Linked DNA regions of Struthio camelus. The protein of the gene in region 2 interacts with the protein of the main gene of each other region in a pairwise test. Links are inferred from orthologs where the notes say so. Each region holds a gene or a part of one and is shown on either strand. Other genes may lie near its edges. The genes, in order: ANXA10 and EDC3.

The links.
Region 1: the proteins of EDC3 (region 2) and ANXA10 interact in binary tests that used the Homo sapiens proteins (3 or more experiments, as listed by UniProt). The link is inferred for Struthio camelus from reciprocal best matches to the Homo sapiens genes EDC3 and ANXA10.

Annotation. Positions count from the first base shown.
Region 1 is NC_090945.1:44,489,029-44,504,054, reverse strand, and holds the start of ANXA10 (annexin A10), read right to left. Parts: upstream 7,382-15,026; 5' UTR 7,054-7,381; coding exon 7,036-7,053; intron 1-7,035.
Region 2 is NC_090953.1:23,450,584-23,465,818, reverse strand, and holds the start of EDC3 (enhancer of mRNA-decapping protein 3), read right to left. Parts: upstream 7,418-15,235; 5' UTR 7,282-7,417; intron 7,021-7,281; exon of another isoform or gene 6,863-7,020; intron 6,462-6,862; exon of another isoform or gene 6,295-6,461; intron 4,139-6,294; 5' UTR 4,121-4,138; coding exon 3,957-4,120; intron 2,372-3,956; coding exon 2,058-2,371; intron 1-2,057. Other genes in the region: CYP1A1 (cytochrome P450 1A1), read right to left, coding at 9,081-9,387, 10,647-10,733, 11,376-11,499, 11,588-11,677, 12,166-12,292, 12,905-13,738. UniProt on the Homo sapiens protein: Binds single-stranded RNA. Involved in the process of mRNA degradation and in the positive regulation of mRNA decapping. May play a role in spermiogenesis and oogenesis.

The DNA.
Region 1 (15,026 bases), on a different chromosome or scaffold from region 2:
TCTGGTAATTACTTTTAACATGAATTCAGCTGAAATTGGCTTTATGAGAAAAATTTTAGAAAGAGAATATCTGCTACAATACCTCAATAATTGTGTATGTCCTTAGTCCATGAAGCTATTTTAAGACCCTCATCACATTACATTAAAGAATGAAAGACTTCTTCCTGCTCTCAAAGGACGGCAGGCCTGGACCATAGTGCTTCCTCCGACCCTGGCTTTAACAAATGTGAAAGTTTTCCTCTGTAGGAAAGTTCCATTCTAAGTCGCTATTTATCAGCAGCCACTGTATACTTATTCGTATAGTTTAAGGTAGTATTACCTCTCCAGACTAAAAACTGAGTATGCTCTGTGTCTGCTTTTTTCAAATAAAAGTGATTCGGAGGTTCACTGGAGCACAAAATAACTAACTTACATAGGTAGTGAAAGAGAAAATTGTTAAAATCAGAAAGATAGCTAAACATGGGAACAAAAAAGATTTAAGACTCATGCCCACACCAACATTATGTTGCTACTTGCCATGTGCAAAAATTGCATTTCATGGCAAAGCTAAAACTGCAACAGTGAAAGCTGTGTTGTGGTTGTCTTGGTGATGTCAGAGGAAAATTCGGAGGTACTTGCACTAAATTTGTTTTCTCTAAATTAAATGGTTCTCTAACCTACCCCCAGAAGTAAAACACAACTATGATTCTGAAAGTTAAGAAGAACAGGGACATTTCTGGATCACTTAACATTTTTAGCACTAGGACTTTATCCAAATCTCATGGCTATTGTTAGTGGAGCTCCTTCTGTTGACTTCAGGGAGCTTTGGATCCTGGCCTTAGTGCGCAAAACTGCCAGGCACAGACTGTTTGACACCTTGCTGAGGAAAGTGAGGATAGCTTATGGATAAACTGAAGCAAATTCAGCGAAGTCACCAAGATACTCAGAGGCTGGGGCAGTTGTCCTGTGAGGTGAAGGTAAGGGACTCAGCCCAGCTTCAAGGGGGGGACCCAACAGCAGTCACCCAGTTCCTATGGGGAAGACATCGAGAACATGGATCCAGGCTCTCTACTGAGGTGCACGGCAGGAGAAATAGAGGCAGTCTGCATAAACTAAAACAGGGGAGAAACTTCTTTCTTTTTCTTTTTTTTTTTTTAAATATGAGGGTAAATGACCAGTGGAACGAGTTGCCTGAAGAGGCGTGGGATCTCTGTCCTTGGTTTTCAGGGCCAGACTGCACAAACCTCTGACTGACTTGGTCTGAAATCAGTGTTGACCCTGATCTGATTAGGAGGCTGGGCTAGATGACCCCCTAGTATCCCTTCCAATCAGAACGATTCCATGACAAGTTTTCTCCAAAGCCAAAAATTAACAGAAACTATTCCAAGAGTATTTTAAAAATAAGTAAGCAAATTAAGCACCCACTGGCTCAGTGACGTGGGACAGAGTAATAAAGAAACCTGTATAACACTCTGGGGGTCAGTCCTGTGAGGTGCACACCAATTCCAGTTATATACTTTGACAACAGCGCTACACCTTTTGCAGGATCAGGCACAGACCTGACACTTCTATCACAGATCATCTGTTTTCTGCTGTACATATTGTGATTATTTGGGTTGTTACGGTGGTAAAGAATTGCGCGCGTTATCAAAATATGACGACTGAATTTCAGGAGTAATTCATTTATGCATTTTCATTTTCTGAAAGGCAGATCAGCAAAGGTATAAGGAGCGTGGAGTCTGAGAGATTAGACTCTTAGCAGTGACAGACTGTGATACTTGCCCAGAAGTGAAAGTTATTGCCTGTGGACATTAAGTGTGCCTAATTACAATTTACGGATGGGAGCTACAGCAAGGTGGTTTATCTTCACCAATCATAAATCAATCACACAAAAAATATTCCTCCTCTAAATAGCTTGTATTTATAATAATCGAGGGAAGATCCTATAACTAAGGTGTTTATTATTTCTCCAATATCTGAATGCAACTACACCTTCCCAAAGGGACATTAACATATATTGAAACTGAATGCAGGACTGAACTTGCAAGCACCTGGAACCAGATCAATGTCAGTGTAGACAGCTCATTATTCAGCTCTTTCATGGTTAAATATAGTCCTTCTGAAAAAAAAAAAAAAAAAACCAGCCACCAAAAAACAACCAAACCTTGCTTTAAGGAAGTAGTGATCTATAAAGCATATGGAAGAAATATGGGCAAGATCCTCAGTCGGTGTAACAGTGCATAATTCTGCCAAAGTTGGTAAAACTTTGTTTTGCACAAGTTGATGATATAACTTTGGTCAGGTCCTAACTCTTCTTTCACCCAGATATGCTTCAGGTATCCTCATTACTAATACACTGCATGTTCCCACCGTTGTCATAATGAACCATGTCACAGCTCAGCCATTTTTCTGTGGATATGGCCCATATTTTTCTGTGCACATATTCAGACACGTGCGTTACACACAGCAGTAAGGACACTTTAATTTACTGAGCTGTACCTTCAAGTTGTCTGCGTTCAAAAATATTCACTGTCACAGGTGCACACAAAGGTCTCATTTATTGGTTTAGGCTGAACAAAGTCACATTTGGTTATTCAGTCTGGATGCAAGAACACAAATGTTGTGGATATTAGTTTGGTGCCTGTTTTGCAATATGTTTTTGTAACTTAACAAGCTGTTCTGAAAGCACTGAAACTAGTAACAACTGTTTTCTTACAGATTCTTTTGACTCTATATGCCTACTAAATTCCTCCTACCAAAACATCAGTTAATTTTCTCTCCTTGATTCTCCACCTACATTCACAATCTGTCAGGTGCTTACCAAGTCTACCACTGGATAGGTAAAAGATGGCTTGCCCTGTGGTTTAGTCCATACTATGCAGGTACTGCTTGGCTAATGCTATGCCAATAAAGTAAATCAGTTTAAACTCAAAGTTTAAACTTAACTGCTGTATTTTTCTAAGTGGAAGAACAATTTGGATCTCTCACCTCCATTGAGCAGCTGGTTTTCACAAAACTTGGAACAGACTGCCATTCCTCTGTTAGTTCGACAGAAATTAATTAACAAGTTCAAAGTTACTGGTAGGGACAGAAGGATGGGCAAATGTAAAGAAATAAAGCCTCAATTTCTGAATAAACCAGAGGGAAAACGCCTGGTATGCTCCACTGAAAGAGTACAAAGAACCCTGTAATATAAAATACCGGTTTAATTTTGATATCCAGGTTCTAATAGTCCATGTAGACCATTTTCCTAGAGCACTCTTTAGAAAGATAGCATTCAGCACGGCTTGGCTTTCTGCCTTAGAAAGAAAATGCCTTCAGGGAGCAGATGAGCAAAGTTCTGGTTATTTCTGAAAGCAATTTGGTCATTTTTTGGGTTAGCTGAGACCAGATGCTAAACAAGAACACGGAGAAATGCTTTTCATACCATCTTTCTTCTGCGGTATCTTAAAGAAAAGCATATCTATTATCCAGAAGGAAGAAAATCAGGGATATCTTGCTTTTTCACATAAAGTATCCAAGTACCTAAAGCAAGTAAGTCCCCAGAGGGGGATTCAATGATTTTAACACCCAGTCTTCTTTCTGATGTCAAGATACCTTCATCTACAAGAACACAGATGTAATTCCACAGAGATGGTCCAGCTGGACACTTTATACCTACATAACTGTGTTTGCTTGCACACAGGCATTTAACTCTTTTAAAAGAAACTGATTCCAAAGTAGATGTGAAAACTGAACACGTTTGCACGGTGTTAGCTGAATGAATCAAAAGAAAGACAGAGATTGGAAAAGGACTGTAAAATTTGTAGTAAATCTGAAAAATAATACTTGCACAGTACTTCTGCACAAGAGCAAGGAAGTTGTAGCTTTTCCTACCACTGACCAAAGCTGCAAGCAGTTCAACAAAAGTATCAGTAAAAGCTTAGGCTGCTTTTATCAAATTATAATGTGTAAAGTTCAGACGATTCAGTCTTGTGACGGAAAAAGCAATCTAAAGTGTGAACAACCTTCCAGTAATATTTGCTCAGTAAGTCATTCTGCTGATAACAAACAATCAAAGTCAGATTCCTTAGTCTGAATGTTTCCAAGAGGGAATATCTACTAAAATAAAATGCCTGCTCTAAAGGCTAATTATGCTATGAGTTAGTTGTGCTTTTTACAGAGATATCTTTTCCGTGCAACTTTATCATTTAATAAAAAATGCCACAATTCATTTTGACTTACTGTGAAAGTTACAGATGGTACACTTCCTTCGAAAAATATACGATACAGTAATGAAAGGGATACTTTTAAACACAACACATTCATTCTTTTCCTCCAAAAGCTGCCATCTTTCTCTGAATATGTATTTTAGAAAGGACATGGAGGTCTGATCGAATTTCTGGTAGCTTCACCTCTGCATGTACTGTGCTGAGCCATTTTCTGTACGATTCAGCCACACTATGCTGCTGAATCTGGCAGAACTGCTGCAGTGATTTTTTTCTACACCTCATTCCTAATCTTTGTGGATTCCAGTCAAGGTAACCTCCCATCCAGTCATTCATATGTGGCATATGCAAAAACTAGTATGTATGTATAATATCAAATATAAAGAAGATCATCTTAAAGAATCAATTAATAATTTTGAAAGCAACACTTTATTTCCTTTTTTATGTTTCTTTATGCTTCTAAACCAACGTTATATTAATATACTGTGATTTCCTGAAAATTTATTTGGAGCTACACTGTGCTTTTAAACTCAGTTCTCAATCTGAGGCTGTGCGTAAGGAGAGCAGACAAGATGTCAGCGTGACTCAGCCTCATCACTCTGTCTCTGTGTAAGCCCTGCTTTTTCTTTGCTTGCGATTTGCTAATGCTCTAGATCAGTGATTTCCAGCTGTTTTGTTGCTGAGACTCATCTGAGAAAATATCCATTGTTCCATGACCTACTCAATCTTGAGGAACCTGCGGACATCGGGAGGGGCATGTCTGCTTGGGCTTTGCACGACATCTCCCCGTTCTGTGTTGATACCTCTGTGGGCAAGTCTGCTTCACTCGTTAGGAACCGCTGAACTATTTCATGCCTTCTCTCCCTTCTCATCCCACAAGTCATGGAGAAAAAGGAAATAAAGAATAACAATTTACTTAACCTGAGAACCTCACCGTACTTTTTCAGCTAAAGCCTGTAGTCAGATGTCGATGTCTTTCTTGAGATTAAGCTGCACCCCATTGTCTACACTTGTCTGGCTACTCTTTTACTTCTGCGATTGATAATTAAAGGGTTAACCAGTAGGTCCTTGCATATTTAGAAGTGCAAGGAATGGAAAGATGATATTCACACCATTTACTCTGGTGTAGTTCAGAGGATCAAAGTTAGGAACGTCAGTTCCTTCTCCGGTAAAGAGGTCCTTAGGGCTGACTAACACACAGTGACTACATTAAAGCAAGGCTAAAATACTAATGTAAATATCTTCCACAGTTAAGCATAAACATGTAATCTATTAGATTTTTTTCATAATACTATCAAACCATCGTAATATTATTGTCTTACAAATAGATCTACCAATTTTAATGACATAAAAGTGATATTATTTCTTCTACAAACTATGTTATAATGTACTAACATTAATACCAGGTAATATATCATATACAGATGCAGTATCAATTATTTAAATAAAATTAGTCTTGATAAATCAGTTGAAGAAATGAAACTGAACTCCCTAATTTCTCAAAATGAAATGAATCTACTAGCTTTTATCTGCTGGATTTCCTGCCTCGCTTTAGTAATTGAACTACTTTAATTTAGTAATTAAATACATTAATAACAATGTAATTAATAACTTAGTATATATAAGAAATATGCTAATAATATAGTAATTAAAATCTACCAGCTTTATCAGGCAAGCTAATTCTTCCTGCCTTGCTTTAGTTATCAGAAATATATCGATAACATAGTAATTAAATGATTAAAAAACAGCAAAAGAAGAAAAAAAAATCCCTTTTCATTTCTTAACTGGGCTCAGGTCTAGTAAGCAATGCAAGATGCCAAATCTTACATCAAAACTAAACACATTATTAAAACCGATTCAATACCTATTTCTCTGAAAAATAAATATATGCAACATAGTTTTCTAGGAACAAATACTTCACTGGTGAGATTAGAATGATTACTGCAATTATGCCTTCAAATAAAGTAAGTAAACAAAAAAATGCTCATCCTTTAGAAAATTCTGCATTGAGCCGTAAATTAATTGGGAATGCACATGCAGAAAGCATACAAGAAGAATAAATCATTACTCCTATTAATAATAATTAAAAGAACAAGAATGACCCTAAGAACATAATTATTTGTTTGCCAGGCGCAGAAAGCAATTTCCTCTTTTATTGTCAGAAAAAATAACTATAGTAACTTTTAGAATAAGGAGTTAAAATTGCAGTATGAACATTTATTTTCTTGACGAGGAAGGAATCATTCACTCAACTGCTATAAAATATTAGCTAGGAACAATAATTGATAGCTTCCCCTGAGTTATGGCCCTTATAGAGGAAGCATTTTTTTTTTTAACTTTAAAATATCTGTCACTTTTAGAATGTAATGCATTGCCAGCAAAAAGAAATGCTTATGAATGATGAAATTATATAGTTACTTCATGTAATTACACAAAATGTGCACTGTAAAAATTTATAACCACCAAAACAGCAGCATGCATCAGTATCATCTGAACAACTCATATTTTTATTTTTAATACCATTTGGTGATGGTATACAATTTTGTGTCTGTGTTACAGCTACATGGAAGTGCAGGAAACTCAAAAACAGGTAAAAGATCTTTTTTTTGTCTTGAAAGGCCTAAAATTATGAGACTAGAACTGTTAATTCTGTACATTTTATTCTTCATTTCAGATACTTTGTATATACTGCAATAATCCCAGAATTAGACATAAACAACAAGTAAATTAACTTCATCAGAGGTAAACTAATTTCTACCGGTAGAAGAAAATGGCTCCCAACATGTGTGGCAACCCAAGAGCAGAAAAGAATTTTGAAAGATTGCAGAGAACAGATTATTATACTCACATAGTCTCCACAATACATTTTGATACAAGTCTCCAAGTTCCGGTGAGATCAAAATAGCAACTTTCCTAGAATAAAGCTAACAGTTCAGTAAACTAAGATTGTTATAGTCAACTTGAATTCTATTTTAAAGAACTGAGAGAAACCATCCAATCAAGCTGATATCAAGTATGCTAGGCTCCAAGGTAACAATGAAGCAGGAACAGCGCCTGGTACTGCACGTCCTCAGGTTCTACGGATGCACTGTATACTTAGTCATTAATCATATGTGAATAAGTAGGATTATTACGTAAGTAAACAGAGTCAATAGCACAACACCCTCTGTTCTGCTGTGTTGATTTTAAGAATCAGAATTCAGCCAGTCACAGAATGAAATGTTAACCTACAGAAACTACTTGTGTTAATGATTTACTTTCAGCATTAGCTGTGGTCTAGTTCCTTTTTTCCTTCTGCTGAATCACTCAGGTCATCACTTACTCTATAAAATATTTCCACCTGGCATGAATAGAAATACGCTGTATAGCCCTCATATGCTACCTGGAGTAACGAGGACAGATCTTTGGAGTCTCAGTGGAACTGTACAGATGAGGCCCTCCCTTGATGTTTTCAGACAAATTAAACCTTATAAGACTCTGTGAAGAGATGAGCAAAAATACTGTAACATTGTTCTATTAGAATTATGCAGAATGGTTGTAGAGACTGAGAGCAAAATTCACATTTTTATAGCTGCTACCTTGTTTTTTTTTTTTTCTATTAATGATATCTACTACCATATTAAAGAAAAGAGAAAACACAGTTTCCTCAAAAAGAGGAATTTAAAATAGACATACAGAAACAGTCTGTATCTAGTACAACATGAACGGAAGACATGGGCTACCGCTATCCTGATGGGGTGTCAGTATAGAGAGTTTATTTTACTGAAATAGTTGGACAGGAGTTTTAGACTTCTAATTTTATTGCTTTTATTACTATATCCATCACATGCTTTGTAGCGCTTATTAAAAGTCGGAGGTTTCTTATTACAATTTAGGAAGACTTTGGAAAGAAGAAAAAAAAAGATTTCTTTCATAGCCTCAATATCTTAGCAACTTGTCTAATCATTAAGAACCATCTCTGGGTTTGTAGGAGCTCTGCAGTACTGATTTTAATATAAACTTCTGCATGTCAGTGTTTATTATCTATAGAGATTACATGTCTGTCCTTATAGACAGTTGGAAGAGTTTCATAGACTGTATGCTTGTGAAACATGAAAATCTTAATGGGCTTCAGACTGCCATATCTTTGTTTTTTCCTTTTTCCTGAGGGCTATGGCAGATCATCTTTTTCTATATAATCATACTGAGTACTTGCTTTACACCTCTGTATTTCAAGTGCTCTGTGAGGATGGCTGGGGAACATAGCCCATTTTACAGCTAAGCAAAATGATCTGTAAAGAATCGGACCTGGCCAGCTGGAAGACGGCACATACAAGGTGGTGAAGATGGCAACAGAAGCTAGGGTGGGATGTAGACTCCTGATAATTAATAGTTTTAAACAGTGATAAGAATATGAGAACATTTTAAGCCTCTCTTTCGCAGACTCTCGTTTCACATACATTTCTTGCTGGGATAAGTAATTAAAATGCAATACAGTTAATCTTCAGTACAACCCAAAATGGATTAAATTTACAGGCTTACAATGTTTTAGTCTGCTCGTGTCAAAACCTTTAGTGGTTAGGGACCACAGGGCCTAAGTTAGTAGAGGAAAATTCACGATTCTGTGCTAATTCCTGGCCATTGAACATGAGGAAAGCATTTAGCCGATTACTGAACTAAATTCTGGTTTTAATGAATCTTTCTGGGAAAAGCCATGACAGACAGAGTCTTGAGACAAAACGTTCAACAGAAGAGGACATTTCAACTCCTTCCTCCTTGTGAAGGTCCCTTGGCTGTCCTTGCCTTCCACCCCACTCTAAGGCAAGAGGCAAGGTTTTCAACAGGGAAATGCAACATACATTTCTCCATGTAATGCTTAGCAAAACTAATCCGTTGTTTGTGTTCCAGAGTGAACATGCTGAACCTAATCTCACTTTTATATTTTTTTCAAGACGCAGCAGCTCAGAGGTGTGAATCATTTCTAGGGTAGGAGCTTATCCTGTTTTTTGTGGGGGGGAACACCGGAGAATTGCATTACAAGTCATTTTGGCCATCTCACCTTAAGACAACATGGACTAGCTGGAGAGAGCATAGAAGAGAGCAGAAATAATAACTCAGAAAGACAGAAAGAACTGGTTTGTTTAGACTAAAGACAGAAAAGTAAAAGATGTGTGAACAGTTCAAGTAAGTAAAAGCTTTTGCAAGAGGAATTAAAAAAAAAATAATTTGTCCTGATTTCATGGTGGACTGGATAAAAAGTGAGAGGCTCAGCATTCTCTTTTTCTGTTTCTCCCTCTGTTTAATTTTTTAATCAATTCTCACCTAATAACAGGGTGAGAATTTTATTACTGATTTGGACACCTGGTTACTTGCTCTCTTTTTGTTTAGAATTTCCCATTTTTGTTCCTGTTTAATTTTCTCCTCTCTCAGTTTGTTACCTGTTTTTCTTCTTTGGAGAGGCTTGCTTCTTTTCTGTAAGAGTAAGAAGGGGTCAGTCCCTCTTCTTGAAGTCCTTCCTGCTGGTGGCATTTCTCACCAGTGCTAAAGGTTCTTTTTCAAACTTCTCCCTGTTCTACTCTATGAACTGTTTAGGCTTAGGCATTGCAACTGATAATTTCAATATTGTACTAATGGAAACCTTGAATAAAAATAACTAGCCATAATTAATTTCTAATTAGAAATCCATATACTTTGAAGAAAGAATGATTTAATTCAAGTGAGAAATAAAAAATGATTTAGTATCAAATTAGTCTATTCATTTTCCTAAAAACAAGAATCTAGCATATCAGTCACACATTAATTACAAACAAAATTCACATTATTGGTAAAATAAGCTCCAGCTATTGTTCTGCAGTGTCTTCAGAAAACCGAAGAGAACTTACACTCTCTGGAGGAGCTTATAAGCAAGCGTAAAAACTTATTCATCATGATAAAAGGAAGGATACGGTAGTAAGAACCTTAACACAATGACTCACTGGAGGATGTATGAGTCAAAAATAACTTTGACAACTCTCAAGTCTGTATTTATATTACAGAAGAAACTCTGGGCACTTATTTGCCTGTGAATTGCTCTTACGGTTGCCTGGGTCAAGTTCTGCCCTGTTTCTGAGAAGGGCTCTGAGCACAGTATGTGTACACAGGAGGCCATAGCACGTACTCGGATGACTTTAGAACTGGCAAACTGTGCCTTGGAAGGGCTACAGCCAGCTGCTTTTTGCCTTTCTGGATGAACATGCGGGAGCATGTGGCGTGATGGCTTACCATCTTGCAGCCATTATCACAAAAAACCCACCTTGCATAAATTTGAATATCTTTCATAGCAGTAACCCCTGTTTTGATTTCAAGTTGCTAATTAAAATAAAAAATAAGAAGGAAAGGAAAACAAAAAACCGTGGTAGCAGACTGGAAAGAACAAGAATACCACAATGCAAGATCATATTGCATAATCTACTTCTATATGCTTCCTATTTAGAGTTGTTTGAAATTTTTTTAAGTAACTCCATGATCAGACTGCGAAAAGGAAAGCTTTTAAATGGTGGAATGTATGCAGTGCTAGAAGGCTAATCACATGAAAGAGAAGGCATTTAAAGAACAGAATAGGGTTTGAATGGGACATTGGATAGTGAAAGGTATTATGGGCATAGTTTCTAGGAACAGCAGGCACATTATTATTTAGTGAATGTAAAATTCTGCAATGAAGACCTTCTTCACTATCCCATCAATATACTTCATACTTGTACTTTCTGGTGGTTTGTCTGCAGCAGAAAATGAAAAGTCTTGGGCCTAGAGAGCAGTAGTTCTCAGTCCTCTATGTCACCAGTGAACTATGCTAGGCTTGCAGCGCTCTTTTTACATTCCTAGAACTGTCCTAGCTCTTTCAGAGTCCTCTTAGGTAGTATAACACAATTACTATTGCAAAACAGCAATTACCTAGGATTCTACTTCAGCCAAAAATAGTAAGCTATGACAGTCTGCACACTAGCTGCCCAAAACAGAACACCTACACGCTTATGACACTTAAAAAAAAAAAAACAAAACTCTAACCCTCAAAATTACCAGCGTCACCGTTAGTACAGACACCTTCCCTTCCAAATATGACGTTGTACATTACAGAAAGCAAGAAGAGAGACCAAACTGCTCCCTTTAACACCTCTGAGTACGTACGTACGTACCTACCTACCTCCCACTTCCACTTCCCAGACCGCGAGGCCGCGCGCCGCCAGGGCGTCTCCCGCTCTCCCGAGGCGGCAGCCGGGGGCGGGGCCAGGGCCTCACGTGGGGCGGGGAGCGCCTGCGCGGGGTTGACGCGCAGGTGGTGGCGGCCTCGGAGTTAGGCGAGGAGCGAGCGAGCGAGCGAACAGGCGGAAGCCTCACTCGGCAGCGACAGGGGCCAGCGTGCGGCCTCTGCTCGCTGCGACCGTGGCGCGGCGCGGCAGCGACGACAGCGCTGCTTATGAGGTTAGTGATGCGGCGGGCGGGCTCGAAGTTGCCGGGGGTGGAGGGTGGGAGCCGCGGGCGGTGTGGAGGGCGCCTGCGAGTCACGGGAACGGCGCTGGGGCCGGCTCAGAGCCTCGCGGGAAGAGGCGGAGTGAGGGCAGCGTGCGCCCGCCTGCAGCGGCTGGCCTGGAGGGGCACCTCCGTTGGCCGCTGCGGTGCCGCGAAGGGAGGGCCGTTGGCGGGCGGCCGTTGGCGGGCGGCCGTCGCTCGGGCCGCTGCTCGTTGTCGGCGCTCATGGTTTGTGCGGTGCTTCTGCTGCTAGTTCTGGGGATGGCAGGTTTTAGTTACGTCTCTCTAGCGGCAACAAAAAGTGGGCGCTTTGGTTCTTGTGCAAAAGTGGAGCTGACGTAATGCTGTAGTGAACTCATGTTTCTTGTTATGAACGCACAGATTTCGGGCTCAGCTGTATAATCGTTACTCTTACTGCAAGTATTGCAGTGAGATAATCAGATACGCTGTTGTAGTGACTCTAGTGGGTATTGCTTATGTTAGCAAGTTCTCTTTAATGCCTGAAACTTGTCACTGAATTTCATCAGTGAAATTCATACTATGTCTGCCCACAGCATCTCAGCAGTTTGTGGGCTGTTGAAAATACAGGTCCAATTGATCTATCCTCTTCTAAGCTGCCATGTTAATACGTATACAAGGCCAACAAGCTTGTATCACTGTTAAACTTACAATTCTGTTCATCTGCTCTTTGAATTTCAAGTGACATGCTAAAGTCTAGCTTTATTTGGAAGGAGCTTGGGATTGCACTAGTAGATTCTTAGGCAATATTTATTATATGGGGCAGATATCCTCTGTAGCGTTGTTGATGGTCCAGGTCCCCTGATTGTCAGTATTTGGAATGTATTTAAAAGACATTGCTCTTCCTCTCCCTTTTCACTCACATGCTTGAATTTCCTGCTTATTTAAGCTAGGTGGAACTAGAAGGACCAAAACTTTCTTTATTCCTGTTCCATTAGGGCATTGGGAATAAGGATGCTGGCCTCTTTATGGGAGCTGGATCTGACAATGAGTCTTGTGTTTTAGACATGATTGAGATCCATGGAGTGTGCAGATGTATACAGATCTATACTGCAGGACTACATATAGTAAGGTCTAATTTTAAACCTGATGTCCCTTGACCAGAGTACTGCAACTTCTTACATGTTTCAGGAAAAATCAGACCCTCAAAGAATGGTATCAAAAAAAAAAATCAGTGTTGCCTATGGGGAGTGGCCTAATTTGGCTACTGTGGCTTTTACCATCACCCGCAGTTTGTTTGCTGGGAAGCACAACTGATGAGAATGCTCAGGAAATGCTAGCACGACTAAGATAGGTAGGAGAATGCCTCCTCTGATTTAGGCACCCAGCATATTCGTACGTTTGGCACAAGACTAGTTGTGCATGTGAATGTTTGCAAAAAAAGTAAGAATTTAAGAGATTTTTGGACCAAGCTATGTTCAGGGAGCATATGACAAGAATTTTAAAAAATCAGTGTCACATAGGCTCATCTGCCTAAAAGCATAACCAGGTGACTAAACTCTTTTGTTGAATGGAGCTCTAAAATTTATGGCCTAATTTGAAAGTTCAGTTTCAGAAAGCTTGATGATTTTTGTTTTAAATAGACACTTTCATCAGCAGCAGATTTTTTTGTAGTTATCTAAGGCATGTCTTGCAGGAATAACCATTGAAAACTGAGGGAAAATTAAAGAACTGGTAACAGACTTTAAGTTTTTATGAGCTGTAAAACAAGAGAGGATCTGGGTGATTTCCAGCATACTTTGTCTAAAAAAGAAAGAACAATTTTATAGCAGATCAAAAGCAGATGTTTCTGATTTAAGAAAAAATGCTAAAATTAATGGAGAAGAATGATTTAAAGAAATTTCACACACTTCAGAAATAGTTCATATCTAGGAAAAGCAATTAAAGAGCTTTCGGAGGTGATGTTGAATACAGCTCAAAGTCACTAAGCTTGAACTGGCTTATGTTTGTAACAATGTTAGGAAACGATGCTTATAGCCAATGATTCTTATATTTTTTGGGTCAGCTTTTCAAGTGTGATGAAAAGATTATTGACAGTCCATGTATTTTGGATTGTGATTCTGGTAATATGAGAGACCCCGCTAAGCCTCATAAAAAAAGAAGAATATTTGAGGGAACAATTGTTTCTTCTGTCTACTTCTTTCAGATCTGCAAACCTCACTTATTCTACTGTTAGGCAAGAGGGAGTGAGCATGGAGATATATTTTATACATGTATATTTATATATAATGATTGCCATTGTTTTTGCAATTTTAAAGTTTTTGAATAGTGATTTTGTTTTTAGTCAGATGAATATGGGGATTCCTTTGTGATTTTTATCTTATAAAGTAGAATCTTTTTGCCACTGTAAATGCATCAGTTTACAGCTTTTTTTAATACCTCTTTAATTTTTAACCTGTTTAGGTTTTGGCTGAGCCCTAGGATAGAGATATGTGTCCTTGGGCTTCCTGAGGTTCTGATCACTTGATTTGGGGAGCTGACTGGAGTATATTCTTCTCATAAACATGCTTTAGCTTCTTACCATGGAAGAATATATCATTCTAAGATGTTATTTAGATGTATCGTTGCTGCGTTTTTCTAATTTGATAGTGTTCTCCTTCCCTATTATAGAGCTGTTCTTGTTTCATGGCACAGTTCCAATGTTTGTGGATGAGGAACTTGGATGCTTTAAGGCCATTAAAACTAATTCTACCAGTTTGTATGTGGGAATGCAAGGAGTTCATGTGAATCCATTTTTAAGAAAGATTTCTTGCTCTTTGGACCTCACTTCTGCTGACAAGTCTGTCTGTGAAATTCCTGTAACCGTTTTCTGAATCTTGAGGAAGCATTAGGATAAAAATTTATTTCACACACATTATATTATTAACAAATGTGTTATGAAAGGCGCTACGTTTACATACTCAAAGCTTTGCAGTTAAATGGAAAATAACCCTACACTTCTAGGCAAGAACTTTTCATTACAAACTTATTAAAGCTGTATAAGAGTGTTTCAGCAGAACCTGTAACAAAATTGGGATGGTAGTGTTTGAATTGTCCTGGGTGCTTTTTAATGTTTCACACCTTAAATATAGATTTGGGTTGAATGCAATAAAAATATTTTAAAAATGTCAGTGGCTAAACTAATACCTCAAGGAAAATCACATTATTTCAAAAACTGTCCATCTGACTAGCATGGAACAAATTTTTTCTTACAAAAAAATTTTCCAACTATTTACTTTAAGAGAAGGAAAAGGAGGCAGTCAAACATAATTAAGTGTTAACATGTAACTTTAATGGCAATGTGTAAATGCCAGTGCGATAAATATCTGACCAGAGTATTGTCTTCCTACAGATATT
Region 2 (15,235 bases):
GTTAAAGAATTACTTGCTTTTATGTAAATAGGCACCAAGCACAATCCTTACAGAAACACTGCAATAAAGAAAACAACTGTGTGACTGTTCTTTGCCTTTTCAAGCAGAGCTGTTCTCCAGAACACTGAAATAGGGACGGGCAAAAGGAGTATTTATACATCAATAACATATGGTACAATTTTAGTAAACTCCAGCTCATGCTCCACCACATAATTTGTCTCAGCAGCCACCCACAGCCTCCAGGCCCTTCGGCTCTACCAGTGCAACATACCATCTTCCTAAAAGCTCTCAAACATCATCTATGTCTCTCCCAAACACCAGCCCACACAGCAGCCTCTCCTTCCTACCTCCAACCACTTCCTTCAATGTCTTTGCTGCTCCTCTCCACCCTACGTTCATACACATCTTTTCCCCAGTCATTTCCCAAATTCCTATAGCATCCACCCCTAGCGTTCTCATCCAACCCAAGTTTATGCCAGCAGTGTCAGAAGAGGGTAGGAACAGACTAGGATGTCAGTGGGGAGAGTGGGGAGGGTGTGGTTCTTCATTAATATTGCTCTACATGCACTAAGAAAGTTAACATACCCCGAAAATAAAAACTGTTATTTCTCAGCAATACTAGCAACAGGAAAATGAATTTGGAGTTTGTATCCCAAGCCATTTTGGAAGTACACAGGAACACCTTACTTCTGTCTTCTGAAAGAGCTTCTGTGACCATCGCTCTCAAAGTTCTACCACGGTCACAAGAATCACACAGAACACTTTGCAGCATTTTAAAGTTCAGAGAGAATAATTTCCTTTCACAACGTTGAAGTATTTCAAAACAGGTTTGGCAAGGTCTGAATCCTCACAACACAACCAACGTTACATTAAAAACAAAAAATCACCCTGAACCTAACGAGTAAAACCATAAACGCAGCCTCTTCTCACCTACGCAATTCTGAAGGTTATTCTGAGCAGGCGTCTCAGCAGTAAGTCTGCAACAGTTGGTCTGCGGCACCTCAATGCCACCAGCCTTTATGAGCAAACAGCGACATCACAGAAGTCCGCTACAACTTCCTCCGCCTGTTACTTGGGTTAGTTCCAGGACCACACTGTGTAAAACGCTCACACACCACCTCAGGCCCCCACCTGGAATACCCTGGAGAAGCCAAGGAAACTCCGTTAAAAAGCAAGCACATGATTAAGTGCCATGCTAAAAAGGGATCTGGCCTCCCACTAGATTCGCCTGCTTTCAGTTGTTCCTCCACATGGGCTCAGAAGAGGGCAAAGGCAGCACATGAGTTTGTTTTCACCATTATCTACTCTCCAGTTATTCCTTCAAATAGGACTAACTTCTCTGGAACAATCTTTTCCAGGCTTTGCCTAGCTAGGAAAGGTATTCCACTCTGAAGCAAAAGGAAGGAAAAGTAGAGGGAATTTGCCTCCAAGGAACTCTAGGTATAACTTTAAGATCGACCCACAGAAGAAAAGGAGCTAGAATTTACAGTCTGCATCAGTACGATGGCAAAAAAGAGATCAACGAAGCAACTCTGTGTCTAGTATACCCTGAAGACCTTCTTGTAATATATATGGAAGCCTAGAGAAACAGAACTTGTTTTACAAAAAATAAAATAAAATAAAATATGGAAACAGCAGATGAAGTCAAACAACCCCCATCACCTGACCTTAGCCCGTAAGAACATTTCACACCTCTAAGGTTATTCTGTGCAAGTACATATACTTCTTTACAAACTCAGTCCTGCAAACGTTACTGAAACCGTGTGAACATTCATACCGAATCGCAGATGAGATTACACCATCATCAAATCATAAAAGAACTTAAGATAAGTGCAAGGCAGTTGCAAGACCTATACTTATACTACTTTGTGGAACAGCTTTTGATGTCTTTATCGCCACCATTCGATTTCTCTTCTCCAGACCTTTAGAGGGCAATAAAAGTACAAAAGCAAACAAACAAAGCACTGTGCGAAATGTTCTTGCTGAAGAAGAGTGGACATTGCAGTAGTAACTCAGGTATGGGAAAAGGAAAGTTGCAGGACAGCACATATACTTACATGAATTGTGTCTACGACGGAAGCCTTTGGACTGAGTCAGTGTTTCCACATGCCGATCCATGTAACTCTTGGAGCACTGCTGCTGTGGAGAGATGATAACATCCTGACTCTTCATGTCTGTTCTCCTTGGAATATTCTGTGGGGCACTGCTGGAGATGGGCTTCTTTAACACTTTTCCAGTGCCATTCTGACTGGGACCCACTTGGCATCCAACACCAGGGATGTCCATTTCCGTCTGCTGCAGATCCCCACATTGTCTATTGTCCCCCGGCCCTGGGATCTCCAGAATTTTTAGCTCAGTAATGTCACCTGCCCTAAAAACAGGAAAAGAGAACCAGACATTCTGGAATTCAGCGTTCAGGCTACTTTTATTAAAACAAACAAACCAACCCACCCTAGAGGAACACACGCAATATTCTACAATATTTTTTCTGATGCCAATATCAACAGAAACAAGAAAAAAAAAATGGATTTGATACACAGACTTACAGGACACATCCCACAGACAAAATATTCAACTGAAGTGATTTGAATCTTCAGAATAAGGACTCAAGTATTTCTTTACTGCACCCTGTTTTTGTTCTGGGTACTGTTCCCAGCTGAAACAGGAATCAGTGAAGCAGATGTGAACAACTCGCACAGATCTTTGCAGAAATCTGCCTTAATATAGCAGTTTCCAGATAATATAATTAATCTCAGCCTTCAGGCTACAGCTTCTTGTAATCCATTTCTACAGAAAGCAATTCTTAAATTGGTGCAATTCATGCTCAGCCAGGGATGGCGCTTCCAATTTCCTCAGAAGGGGAAACTAAAGTAGTACTGGTTACAAACCAAAATGAAACAAAGAAGTGATCACGAACACCTTCATTTGCACAGACTGCAAGAAATAAATTGGAAGTTATGGTCTTCTATTTTAGACCTGATAAGCATTGGTTCAGCTAGGGTATAAAATTAACAGCATGAGAAGTAGCAAGGACTTGACACAGACTTCCACACGTTTCCTGGAATAATATGGCCTTCTTCCTCTCCCATTCAAAAATCTCTTCAAAATCCTAGTTCGAGGAAAAGGTGATATTCTGAAATCTGTATTTAACCTTATTTAAAAATACAGTATCGTAAATCTGTATTTAACCTTATTTAAAAATACAGTATCGTTAAGTCTCACTGTAGCAAGCAAATTGCACAGGTAACAGGAAAATATCCTGTGACTAATCTCTTATTTTTCTTTCAAACACGATGTCACCAGGAGCTGGTGGGAGGGAACTCAGAACTACTACAGTACTGCTACATTGAATTCAGCTTCTTAGCTCCAAACCTTTCCAATAGTTTTCTACACCAATTAGCAGCCAGCCTTACACAGCAAGATTACCCAACCAACGGCAATAGTTTTTAGTAGACAGAAACGCTGCCTACAAGGAGACGAGAGTGTGGTAGAAGACACGAGATGGACTTAATGATTGCATTTAATCAAATGTAATTGCATTTGGGCCAATAACTTTAACTGATCTGCCTTCTCTTCTAACACGTTTTGAAAACGTACATTACATATTCTGAGGAAGAACCTTTAAGAGAATATGCCAATTCTCTCAACCATATGAAAACTCAACAGAGAACATGTACACCTACATGATACATACATACACATAGCTTCAGCCACAAACATCCTCCAGCTGTGAGCTATACCAGTTCTAACACTGTGAGCACAGAGCCAGAAAATAACAGTCTTCTGCATACAAATTCATGAAAACATTAGAGGCACTCTTCATCCAAAGACGCTCATTAGTAGTAATAAAATTTAAGGCAAAGAGCCCAGTTCTAGGGTGAGTAGAAAGAAAAAGAAACAAAAAAGGAAAAAAAAAAAAAAAGGCCTTGTCTGGAAAACAGAAAAAAGACACTAACCTGAAGGTGACTTCTGGCACGAGGCACTTGACCCCATTATGGAAGGGCCGTGTCAGAGAAATGGTCTGGCTGACCTGATCCACAGCAGACACCCGTCCTTGGTAGACTCCCAAGCTTTCTCCACAATTAATTGACACAATGCTTCCAAGCCAGTCTGTAGCCATATTTCTGGCACACAATTGCTGTAAAGTGAAGAGACACAGGCCTGGCTGTAAAAGATGCAGAAACTGACAACCTGAATCAGCATCAACTGCGCCCTCCCGGCCCCAAACGCTGGCTCCCACCCAGGCTCCAGCTCGGTCAGCTTCTCTCTTGTTTGTGAGGTGGAAATAACATCTATACAGCTACCAACACTCACAACAAATGTGTAAATCCCTGGACAGCACTTTGCTTATACATTTGTTTGCAACACCCATAGCTCTGTTGCAATACAAACGATAGCTAATGCTTGTATCACCCTGGCGAGTTTCCTATAACGTTGTATTTTTTTAAAAAAATTGGAGGAAATAATTTTGTAACTGATTTCAAGACTAAAAACTTCTAACAGCAATATCATTTGCTTAAGTACCAGATCAAGTATTTAGATCTGTCTGCATGCATTCTCCCAGAAGCTTCAAACGGTTAATTTTATCTTCCCCTCCCATTTTAAAGTTTTGGCCTTTGAATACTGGAGAAGAATTGCATTTGTGAGGACTTGGCAGCGAGAAGACCGATGTCTGCAAACACAGCTTAAAATCAACACTTTTAAGAGAATAGAAAGATACTTGGGGGAGGGAGGGGGGGGAGCCTCTTCAGTCCATGACAAGAGTCTCCATGATCTCCAGATAGTATTGGTACTACTGAAATAAATAAATAAATAGCATTGTTTTCCAGTAATTGCATTTAGTCTTGCAAGTATATAGGGAGGAAAAAAAAGAAAACCACACCACCACACACTGTGTAGTTAGATATTCAGACCTATAAATCTCTTGCAGTTTTGATGCCTGACTGAAACTGTATTTCAATCAACACACACTGAAGCAGCTAAGCACATCTTTTGATCTGATATTACTTCCTCCAAACAAGGCACATAGGAAAGTGACAGGCTCTCGCTAGCATCACAGTAGCATGAAAAAGCTGAAAAGCTCATAGAGGAAAATGACTACTCTGTGTCTGGGTGTATATACATACACACACACACACATACATACATACACACACACACACATATATATATAAAATGTCTTTTATGCTGTAATCAACAGTGAGAAGGAGAACACTCGATCAGAAGAAAAAATCCACTTTGACTTCATAGCTGTAACAGAAGATCATTCACTACTTTTACTGTCATTTCCCTGCCTCAACTCTGAATTTCTTAATCTCCTTCCTGAACTGATGATAACTTGCTCAGTTTGTGGGACATGCTGTAAAGAGCAGAAAGACAGAAAGAGGAGGAGATAATCCAGAAACAACTTGCTGCTTTTCTCAGAAGAGCAAGGCTACAGGCTGGAATTCATCAGCAGAAACACAAGTTGGAGAAATAAATAAATAAATAAGGTAACACAATACAGAGCTCAAGATAAGAGTGGGGTGGGGGGGGGGAACAGATTAACATCAATACATAAAACACCTTTCTGTAGAAATCATTTTAATTCTCTGGAAGCTCTTCATGTCCAGAGCTTCTTGGAAAAAGATGCAAAAGAGACTGGAAATAGCTACCATACATGGATGTTACTAGAACAAACTCACTTCCCATCCTCCTTCCCCCTTTTTTGAAAGACTAAAACCAGGGGCTGCTCGAAAGAGAAACAAACGCTAGATTTGGTCTCTAAGATCATGAGCTCTTTAGCAATGGCCTCCTCTTTCCTGTTTTTGTGTCTTTATATTGACCCACAACAACACGTCTGGGTTCCAAGTTGACGGCTGATTTAAAAAAAAACTTCTAAAACACAGATAATGCATTTCAGAGTATCTGTGTTAAAATGCATATTTCATTCTCTTTCCTGCTTTTTATATCTTGTTTGGGAAACAAGGAAAAAGTTCAACATACATCAGCACTTTAAAGGGATAATTTTTAAAAAATTAAGATAGTCTCTTTTCAGAAAGAGGGTATGTTTGGGGGCAGACATAAACCAAATCAGTGAAACTCCTAATCTCAAAAGGATCTCACTCTGTAGCTACTTTATATGCAAACCATTTAGAAAAGCGAAAGAACTACACAGGCAGTGAACGATTACTTAGCCACACGAGACACATGCAAACACGTTTGTTTACATACACCTGGAAAGTCAGACTTCCTGCCAAAATTATATTCTAAGATTTGCTGCTACCACCGGCACAGATATATGTTCTTACACACCTCTAATTTCAAATGTAAACTAGAGACACCTTTGACGCTTTTGCAAGTTTTGAAGGGAAGTCAACAGCCTCATGGTCTACTCAAACATATGTGTAGCGCGCTGGGGAAAGCAAAGACGCTTCGGAAGTGACTGAGCGCACGAAGAATCGGCGCCCCCGCACACCAAGCACACCTGCGCTAGAAAAAAAGGAGCTGCCAAGCCTGTGCCCCCTCTGTACCTAGCAGGGGAGCAGGGGAAGAAGGGGGAGCAGCTCGTGGGGGAAGGCAGGGGCCACCAGGCCTATCCTCTCTGCACCCGCGGGAAGAGCTGCCGCGGGATCGCTTCCCACGCCGGGAAGGGGAGGCCGGCTGAGGCCTGGACGCCGGGGAGGGGAAGCCCTGCGGAGGCCGGGGCCTGCCCCCCGCCGCCCCCGGCAGGCCGCGGACGGCTCCGCCTTACGGCCGCGCCGCCCGGGAGCGCCGGCGCCGCCGAGCCCCGCACCGGGGGCCCCGGCGAGGCCCGGCCCGCGCTCCCGGCCCCGCCAGCCCTGCCCGCGGCAGCGGAGGGAGCGGGGCGCCACCGCCTCACCTGCGCCGCCGCCGCCGCTCGCTCCCCGCCTCACCCACCGCCCTTCCGCCTCGCCGACGCCCGACGTCTGCCGTCACTTCCTGCCCCGCGCCGGGCCTCGAAGCGTCGCTCAAGCCGCCGACGGGCGACCATAGAGAGGCGCGGCGGAGCACAGGCGCGACGCATGCGCAGTACTGCAGCGCGCTCCCGCCGTCGCGGGGGGAGGCGAGGGGGCTGCGCTCTGCGCGCATGCGCGGCGGCGGCGGCCGTGCAGCGCCGAGCACCGGCAGGCGCGGGCGGGCGGGCGAGCGGGCGGCGGCGGCCTCGCTCACGCCTCCGCCGCCCCTGCCTCGCCGCCCTCGCGCGTCCCCCACCGCCTCCGCCACCCCGCATCACTGCCGGCACGCGCCCTCCGCCACACCCCGTCCGGCCCGTCGCACCTCCACCGCTGCGGTGGCGCGGCCTCCGTCACGGCCTTTCGCTGCTGCCACCTCTCCGCCGCCACGGTGGGCGCGCGGCCCCGGTCACGCCTGCGCCACCGTGTCACGCCTCACGTCCTGCCTCCGTCACCCATGGGCGCCCCCCCCGCCGCCGCCTCGCCCCGTCTCCGCCCCGCTCTCGCCACCGTCGAGGCGCAGCGCCCGCTCTGTGCCCAGTCGCTCAAGTGATCTGCCTGTTTCGGAAGGGAAGTTGATGCAAAGCCTCGGAAACCATAGTCCGCGGAGAGGGGGAAGCGCCAGCCAGAAGCGTCCCTCAGCCCGCTGCTTCCCGCCCCGGCAAAGCTCAGTCTCAAACCTACTAACTAAAGCAGAGATGCTGCCGCGTGAAAGGCAATTTTTAAGCTACCTGACTCAGTTTTTCCCAGGGGGACCAGACCATCGCCCTGGGGCTAGTCCCGGTTTTTAGCGAAAGCCGGAATTGGAGCAGGCGCCCGGCGTTACCTGCTGGCTGCCGCGGCGGTCAGCTGAGGTCTAGCGCAACTCTCTCCTCTAGGCGCAGAGAGAGGGTCGGACCCCACAGCAAAGCCCCCGTGGGAAACGGGGGCGACAGCGCCTGCCATCTGCGGACGGCCAGTTAATTCCCAGAATGGAAAAATCTAGGTACGAGGGTATCTAAGTCAGACTTGAGGATGGAAAAGACAAGAGGTGTGAACATTTCCCCCCCCCCCCCCCAGATCTTTCCCCAGGAGAATAAGACCAGCAAGAACCAAGCAAGAAACTTGCCCGTTAGTATTTATTGGTTAGAAACATTGTGCAATGCAGATAACATTTCGGCATACAGATGCATCCCATACAGATCGCAGGGAAAAAAAAAAAAAAGGCACAAACGGGCAGGAACTGCTGTTCCATTTGCCGTTATAATTTGTCCTCACACGAGCTGAGCAGATTGAAAAGCAGGGCAGAGTAGCTCCTGCCGTCTTTAAAGCCCTACTCTTTGTATTAGTCTGAATATATAAATCTTTTTTTTTTTTTGCAAATAAGTAAAAGAGGAGTTAAAATAGCAACAATGCATAGTCCAAAAGCAAGAAGCATTTTACTGTCTCCCTTGTTGGTTTTTGTCCCTTTTTCCTCATTCTTTTGATTTTTTTCCAGGAGGCTTATTGTTGAGAGTTGAGTTAATAACATCTCAGATTTGTGAACAGCTAGATGTATGTGTGTGTGTATAACATATATATATATATATATATATATTTGCTAGTAGTCAGACTGTCACTAAGGGTTGGTGCATTTCATGAATTTATATTTACGACATTTAGCTGTATGACCGTGCACTCCAAATGGCTACGCTTGAGATACTTCATGGGCAAGGGGTGGGTTTAGCCAGCCAGCAACGCCCCAGCTGCCGCTCACCTGGGCAGAAGCCTGTGCTGCCCTTACATGCCAGAGGGCCCTTCACAAGGAGGTGTGACATGCCCTCTCGCAAGCAAGTTGCAAAGACGTTCTGAGAAATCGGCCCGACGAATCTCTGCTCTGCTCTCCTCCAGGCTAACAGGGATGCGAGGAGCAAGCACGTTCCTCGAGGCGCACTGAGCCCAACAAGGCCGTCTTTATCCGTCCCTGTGCGCTCGCTCGCATTTACATGAGAGATGAACGAGCCCCCAGTGAGGCGGCCCAGTGACCGGCTGTGCTGGCTGGGGAGCAGCTCCTTCTAGAGAGCGTTAGCTAAAGCAGTCCCAGTGTCTGGCTCAAAAGGCTGGCTTTATTTCGCAAAGTGGTACTTCCTCCCAGGGCTCCGCAGCTTATGGAGAGCTCTTCACCGGGAAGCGCTTCTTAATCTGGAAGTGCTTGCACTTCTTGTACTTCATTGTCAGGCCGTACTGAGGAGTGATGTCCACCTCCTCCCCGGCGCAGAGGCTGAACTCCAGCTGCTGAAGCAAGGTCGCCAGGAAAAGGAAGACCTCCAACCGGCCAATGGACTCCCCGATGCATCGCCTCTTCCCCAGGCCAAAAGTCATCACTTTGTCAGCCTCGTTCCGGTCTATTTTAGTCCCGGCAGCGCTGAGGAACCGCTCTGGGTTGAAGGTTGAAGGATCCTTCCAAAGCTTCCTGGAGCAAAAAGGAGAGGTGACTGAGAAAGCCGTTTCCCCCCTCCACAATAGGGACAGCAGGAGAACAAATCCTTGCAGAGAAAAGCATTGCAATCTTTTCTCATTTCGCTGTCCAAAAACTCTGGCACTCGGTGGTGGCCTTTATCAGTGATCTAAAATGCCAGTTGCATGTCAGCCCCTATCAGCTCAGTCTATTGAAACAGACTATTTCAAACTCAGATTGTGTTTGCCTATGCAGATACCAGGGGTGAATTTAGTTTAGCATGCAATATCTAGAGGCCCTGCAGTTTCAGCTGAAAGGAGACCACAGAAACCTGCCAGCACCTTCTAAAAAGGAAGGATTCAGACCTGACCGTTTATCGTCTTGAACCTTTCTAGCAAAACTTCATGATCTGTCCAGTTGCAGTTCTGGTGCCTGCAGGATTGCTGCTCGCAGACAGAGGGAATTCCCTCTGCCACACAGCATGTTCCCCCTGCAAAGGAGGGCAATGTGCACTGGCATGTGCAGAAGCGGCAGGAATACTTCTTTGTATCAGAATAGCTCAGCTGCACAGAGGCCGAGTCTCGAGCTTCTCAGCTAAAATAACTGGTGGGGGAACAACCTCCTGTTTCAGCCATCAGTCACTTACTCCCTCCAAGGCCGCCTCTGCTGTAGTGCAGCGGACAGGTAAGACAGGGCTTTGGGCTCCAGAGCCCTTTGCATTCACAGAAGCTGATTATCAGAAAGGGTGACGCAAGTCTATTGAGTCCTTAATGCAAGAAGAGAATTGACCCTGTTAGTGATGGTCACGTCAGCAGTCCCTTCTGACAGGGCATTTTTCTGCCTGAAAGAGGGAACCAGACAGTTTCTGCTGAACACAGAGCTGTCAGCTTGGCAGGAAGATGTACCGATTCCTGACTATTCAGCAGCCAAAGCTGCCAGCCCTTCGAAAACAGCCACCGCGCACACGGGGTCAATCCAACGCGCTGAGGACGCCTCCAAGCTGCTGTGCAAAAAGTCAGTAAAGCCCTGGCTGCCGGGGAGTCGCTGAGCTGGCGACTGAATCAGTCTGTGCAGTCCAGAGCACCTCCACGCGCAGGAGAGCTCACCCTGGCATCTGCATCAAATCCCCACTGCTTTCGGTCTGACCTGTTCATCCCTGTTCTCATGACCTGTTCAGCTTTAGACGTGTTGCTGTAAAGGACCGATCTGAGCGATCTCAATGCCAAGCAGACCTACTGCGCTCTGAATGAGAATGGGAGATTTGGCGTACTTACTCATCATGATTCACTTGCCACTGGTTGATAAATACACAGCAGTCCTTTGGGATGTAGTAGCCATTCAAAACGGTGTCTTTTGTTGTACTGAAAGAAATAGGGGTGCAGGAGGATAAATTGAGAGGAAACCTGCAGTTTTAGGGTGAAACAAAGGCAGGCAGGTTCTAGAGAAGTATTTTGTTTTCAATACCCTATATTTATTCTTAGGACTCGCTAGGAAATACCCTGCCTTAATTGTATTTGAATTGGGAGATTATAAGTACTCTTGGTTAATGCTTTTCCTCAAGTGGAAAGATTCCAGTTTCACGAAGCTGAATGAATCATGACATGGTTTCTCCCAAGGCAGGTGGAAATATGAAACCAGGTGATTTAGTCACGACCCACTGTCCTACCACTAGTGAAGGGTCTGAAGCGAAATTGCCCTCATACTAAGAGATTCAGCCCCAGGTGAGCAACAAGCAGGGCAGCTGCTGGCCTCAAATTGGGCAGTGAAAGCAGCCGCAGGCACCGATGCAACTCAGTAGTTGCGCTGACGGTGACTGTCAAAGCCATGGGGAGGTTTAACCCAAGGAATTTAGGATTTGCATCAGAATATCTCCCCACAGCCTTCACGGAAGTAGTCTACAACAATAACAGGGATCAATTCCCAGGCTATTATCAGCATAAACAGCACCTCCCAGAAAACCGCTCCAAAAAACAAGTTAACGCGTCAGTCGTTACAGTGCTTACCAGTGCGGGATAGTGAAGGGCAGGAAGGAAGAGTGCCTGAACATCTCCAGGATAAAGGCTTCTGTGCGCGGCAGCGTGCCTCGGTCAGACAGCCTCGGTCGCCTCTCCTGGCCGATGGTGTGATCTGCGGGTGGTTGAGAGGAAGAAGCTGGTTGGAATCAGCCTTTGGCAGAGACATTTCAGCCCTGGAGGAAACGGACTCATGAACTCACCTATTTCTTCCTGGATCCTCTTCTGGATGTCAGGGTACAAGGCAAGGTACATGAGACTCCAGGACAGGGCAGTTGTAACAGTGTCAAAACCTGTATGGACATAGAAGAAAGGCATTTAATTACCTAGAGAAGACAGGCCAGAGGACATTTACAGATCCCATCATTTACAGATCCCATTCTAGATTTTTTGGCCAGTGACACACAGCTAATATTTGCCTTGGAGCTGTTCCCCCATCAGCTATCTCTGGAAAGCCATCTGCTCTGGTCACCCGTCAGAAGAGCATTTGTGAGCCCAGCTTCAGCCCCGGCTACCGAGCACTGTGAGAGGTGCACCTGGACGGCTTCGGCTCCCCTCTCCACCCTCTGCCGTGACCCTCAGCTCAACTGCCAGGGCTAAACAGCAGCTCTCTCCAAAGCTTGTCTCAGGACTTTTGAGGCCTTTCTGGCCATAAGGCTGTTGAAGGACCTGAAAGTGTTTGGCTGCCTGCAGTAGCGGATTACAGCTCTTCAGCTGCCACATCAGGAGGGCAGCTGGGACGGGGACAGCAGCATGGCTTTAACAACAGATGCGTTCTCACCTGCCCCAAAGAGGTCGTTGACAATATTGATGATCTGCTTGCTGGAGAGCGGGACACCGGTGTTCTCCCCTGCCTTAGTCTCCTGGCAGTGCTCGATCAGCGAGTCCGTGATGTCCCGGATGTGCTCCTGAGGGAACAGCCAGAGTAGTCAGCTAGACCAGAGAAATCAAGGGCTGGAGGAAAACCTCTCCTCCCAGCCAATGCAGGGCTCCTGATGGTGATCAGCTACAGACCCACAAGCTCCCGTGAGCTTTCCTGTGCACCCTGTGAGGGGGGTGGACACGGGAATATCCTCTTCCCCCCTTTCTGGGCCAGACAGACAGCAGCCGTGACACTTGCAGGCACCTCTGCCCACAGAGGCAGGATCAGATGGGGCAGTGACAGAGGCAGCAGCTGTTTGGCCTGCCAGGTAAGCAAGGCTGTATTACTCTGGGTGACTAAGAGCCAGTAATATATTAAGAGAGCCATTTTGAAAAGAGTTAGAGAAAGCGGTGCCAGCTACAGGAAAATCAGTATCTCCAAACACTTTGCCACTTCCAGCAAACAGCAGCACTGGATTTGATTTTTTGAGCTTCTTCGAGAGAAGCTCCATTTCATTAGGCAAAAAGTGGAGTAAAAACTTCACTTATGCTCTCTGACTTGTTGCAATGGTCTTAAGGAACCAAGCTATGAAAGATAAAGGCAACAACAGAGTGAGGAGCAAAGCAAAGGTTGCCCAGAGCAATCTCCAAATTCTTACCCTATCAAAGCTAGTGTAATGCTGCTGGACGATTTTTTGCACGAAAGAGCTGAATCGCCTGTTGAGGTCCTTAAAAGCTTTCATGGCACGGCTGGGAAGATACTGGAGCACAGGGATGAAGTCAGTAGGGTTGCCAGCAGCAGCAACCTCTCCAAACTCATTGTTGAGGTTTACCAAGCTGAGCAGCTCTTGGTCGTTGTGGTCGTAACGCCTGCCAAAGCACATGGCACAGATGACGTTGGCCACAGAGATCACCAGGTACCGGTAAGGGTCAAAGCTCTTCTCCTCTTCCATCACCTGCAGGAACTTGGTGACCAGGTAGTCGGCCTCCTTGGAGACGTGCTCCTCCAGGAGGCAGGTGGAAGAGGAGGTCAGGCTGGGGGCGATGGAGAAGGTCTTCAGGGCGTTCTGGGCCAGCTTTCTGCGGGCTTTCCACACCTCCCCTGAGTCTGGGCTGAAGGTAAGGCTCTGGCCATTTGAAATGTATTGGAAGCTGTGGAGATCAGGGCGCCCCATGAAGTCTTCTCCTTGCTTCACCAGGGCTTGCTTGATGGTGTCGAGCCCGCTCAGCACCAGCACGGGCCGGCTGCCGATCCTGATCTCCATCACGTCCCCATACTTCTGGCTCAGCTTGGTCAGGGCCAGGTGCGGGTCCTTCCTCAGCTCCAGCACGTTGCCGAGGATGGGGTAGCCTCTTGGTCCTGGGGGTCTCTTCAGCCCCTTGGGGACGTGCTGCCTGAAGGACTGGATGAGCAGGAAGACCAGGCAGAAGACAGCAGCCACAATGAGGATCTCGGTGGCCGAGATAATGCCTTGGCTTCCCCCCAGCGACATTGCAGCCTTCGTTGCCACTGGCGTTTAGAAACCTTAATATCAAAAAAAACAAAAAAGAAAAAAACCCACACACATATTTTGGAGGAGGAAGGTCTAGGAAGCATCTGCAGTTTTGAGACACTTATTTAGTAGGGACCGCACAGGCAATCTGTAGTTGCTGCATTGCTTTTCTGCGCTTCAGCACCTCTGCATACTTCAGCACTGAGAAATATTCCCCTACGTCGTGAGCAGAGGATACTTATGTCCAAATCAAAACAGTCTCGCATTTGTCTTCACCAAAAAGTCATTAGAAGATGAAGCAATATTCCCTTGTCACCCTCTCCTGATTGGCCTGCCAGATTTAAGTATCTTCCTAAAGGCACTAGTGCAGCTTGCACTTGCGGACAATAAAAGCAGTGCAGCCAAGAGCGAAAGGAATAGGTCATATGGCTTTTTCTCTGCATGCCAGGGATAAGAAACGTGCTCTTTTAAGTAGAGAAATTCTCTTTCCTGCTCTAAAGTCTTTTCAAGAGACTATAGAAGAGTTGAATTGTCCTGGTTTGAGTCATCTGGTTGCTTGCACTGAGCCATCGCTTACCAGCAAATTAAACAAAGCAAGCAGGGGTTTTGTTTAGATTATCACAACTCTTACAAAAGATAGATGACCAAGAAAGCTAGCAAGTGCTGTAGTGGGACACTGGTCTCTAATGCTCCATCACTGGTAACCAAAAGGGCTGGAAAGAGCAAAGACCTTTTCCCAATGCATGTCCCCAGAGCCAGTGGGTTCAGTTCAGGGATGTCTAAACAGCTCTGATGTGTCAACGCATTTCTGGAGAGGGAAGAGCAGGACCCTGCACTGCCCTTTGGGGTTGGTAGGTGGGGGGCACGCTGCTCCCAGCTCTGGCAGAAATCCCTCAGGTAAACCCTGAGCCACAGGTAGAAAAAGATTGGGTCTGACATCCCACCTTCCCCTGGTTTGAAGGCACTAGAGCCCACTGTGCTGCTCCCCTCCGGGACTCAGGGCACCCGGGTCCCATGGGATCACCTTGGCTTCAAATGCAGCAGGTCCTTTGGTAGCAAGGAGCGCTATGGGGCTGCCAGGGTCCCTGTTTCAGTTAGGGAAGGGGCATTTCAGCCCTGCTCGAGCAGGGAGAGCCAGCCCCACGGGGCAGCCCAGCTTGGAGCCGGGACCCCCCTCCTAGCCCACGTCTGCAGAGCCAAGCTGCCTGGGGCAGTGAGCCCTGGGCAGAGGGTCCTGGGGCAAGGATCCGCCAGTGTAAGCCTCCAGGGGCCCCGGCTCTTCCAGAAACCGGCAGCTCAGGGAAGGATGCTGTGAGCTGTCTGGCAAACTATGGGGCCACCGCCAAAGAGGGCATCCCACGGGTTTCCAGCCTGTGGGGGTCCCCTGGGAAAGCTGTCAAGGAAGAGCTCCTGGACCCCTCCCCACCCTCCAGGCGGAGGGCTCTGTCCCGGAGCTGGGGGACAGTCCCCGGGACCGGTACTCACCTCTCGGGCGAG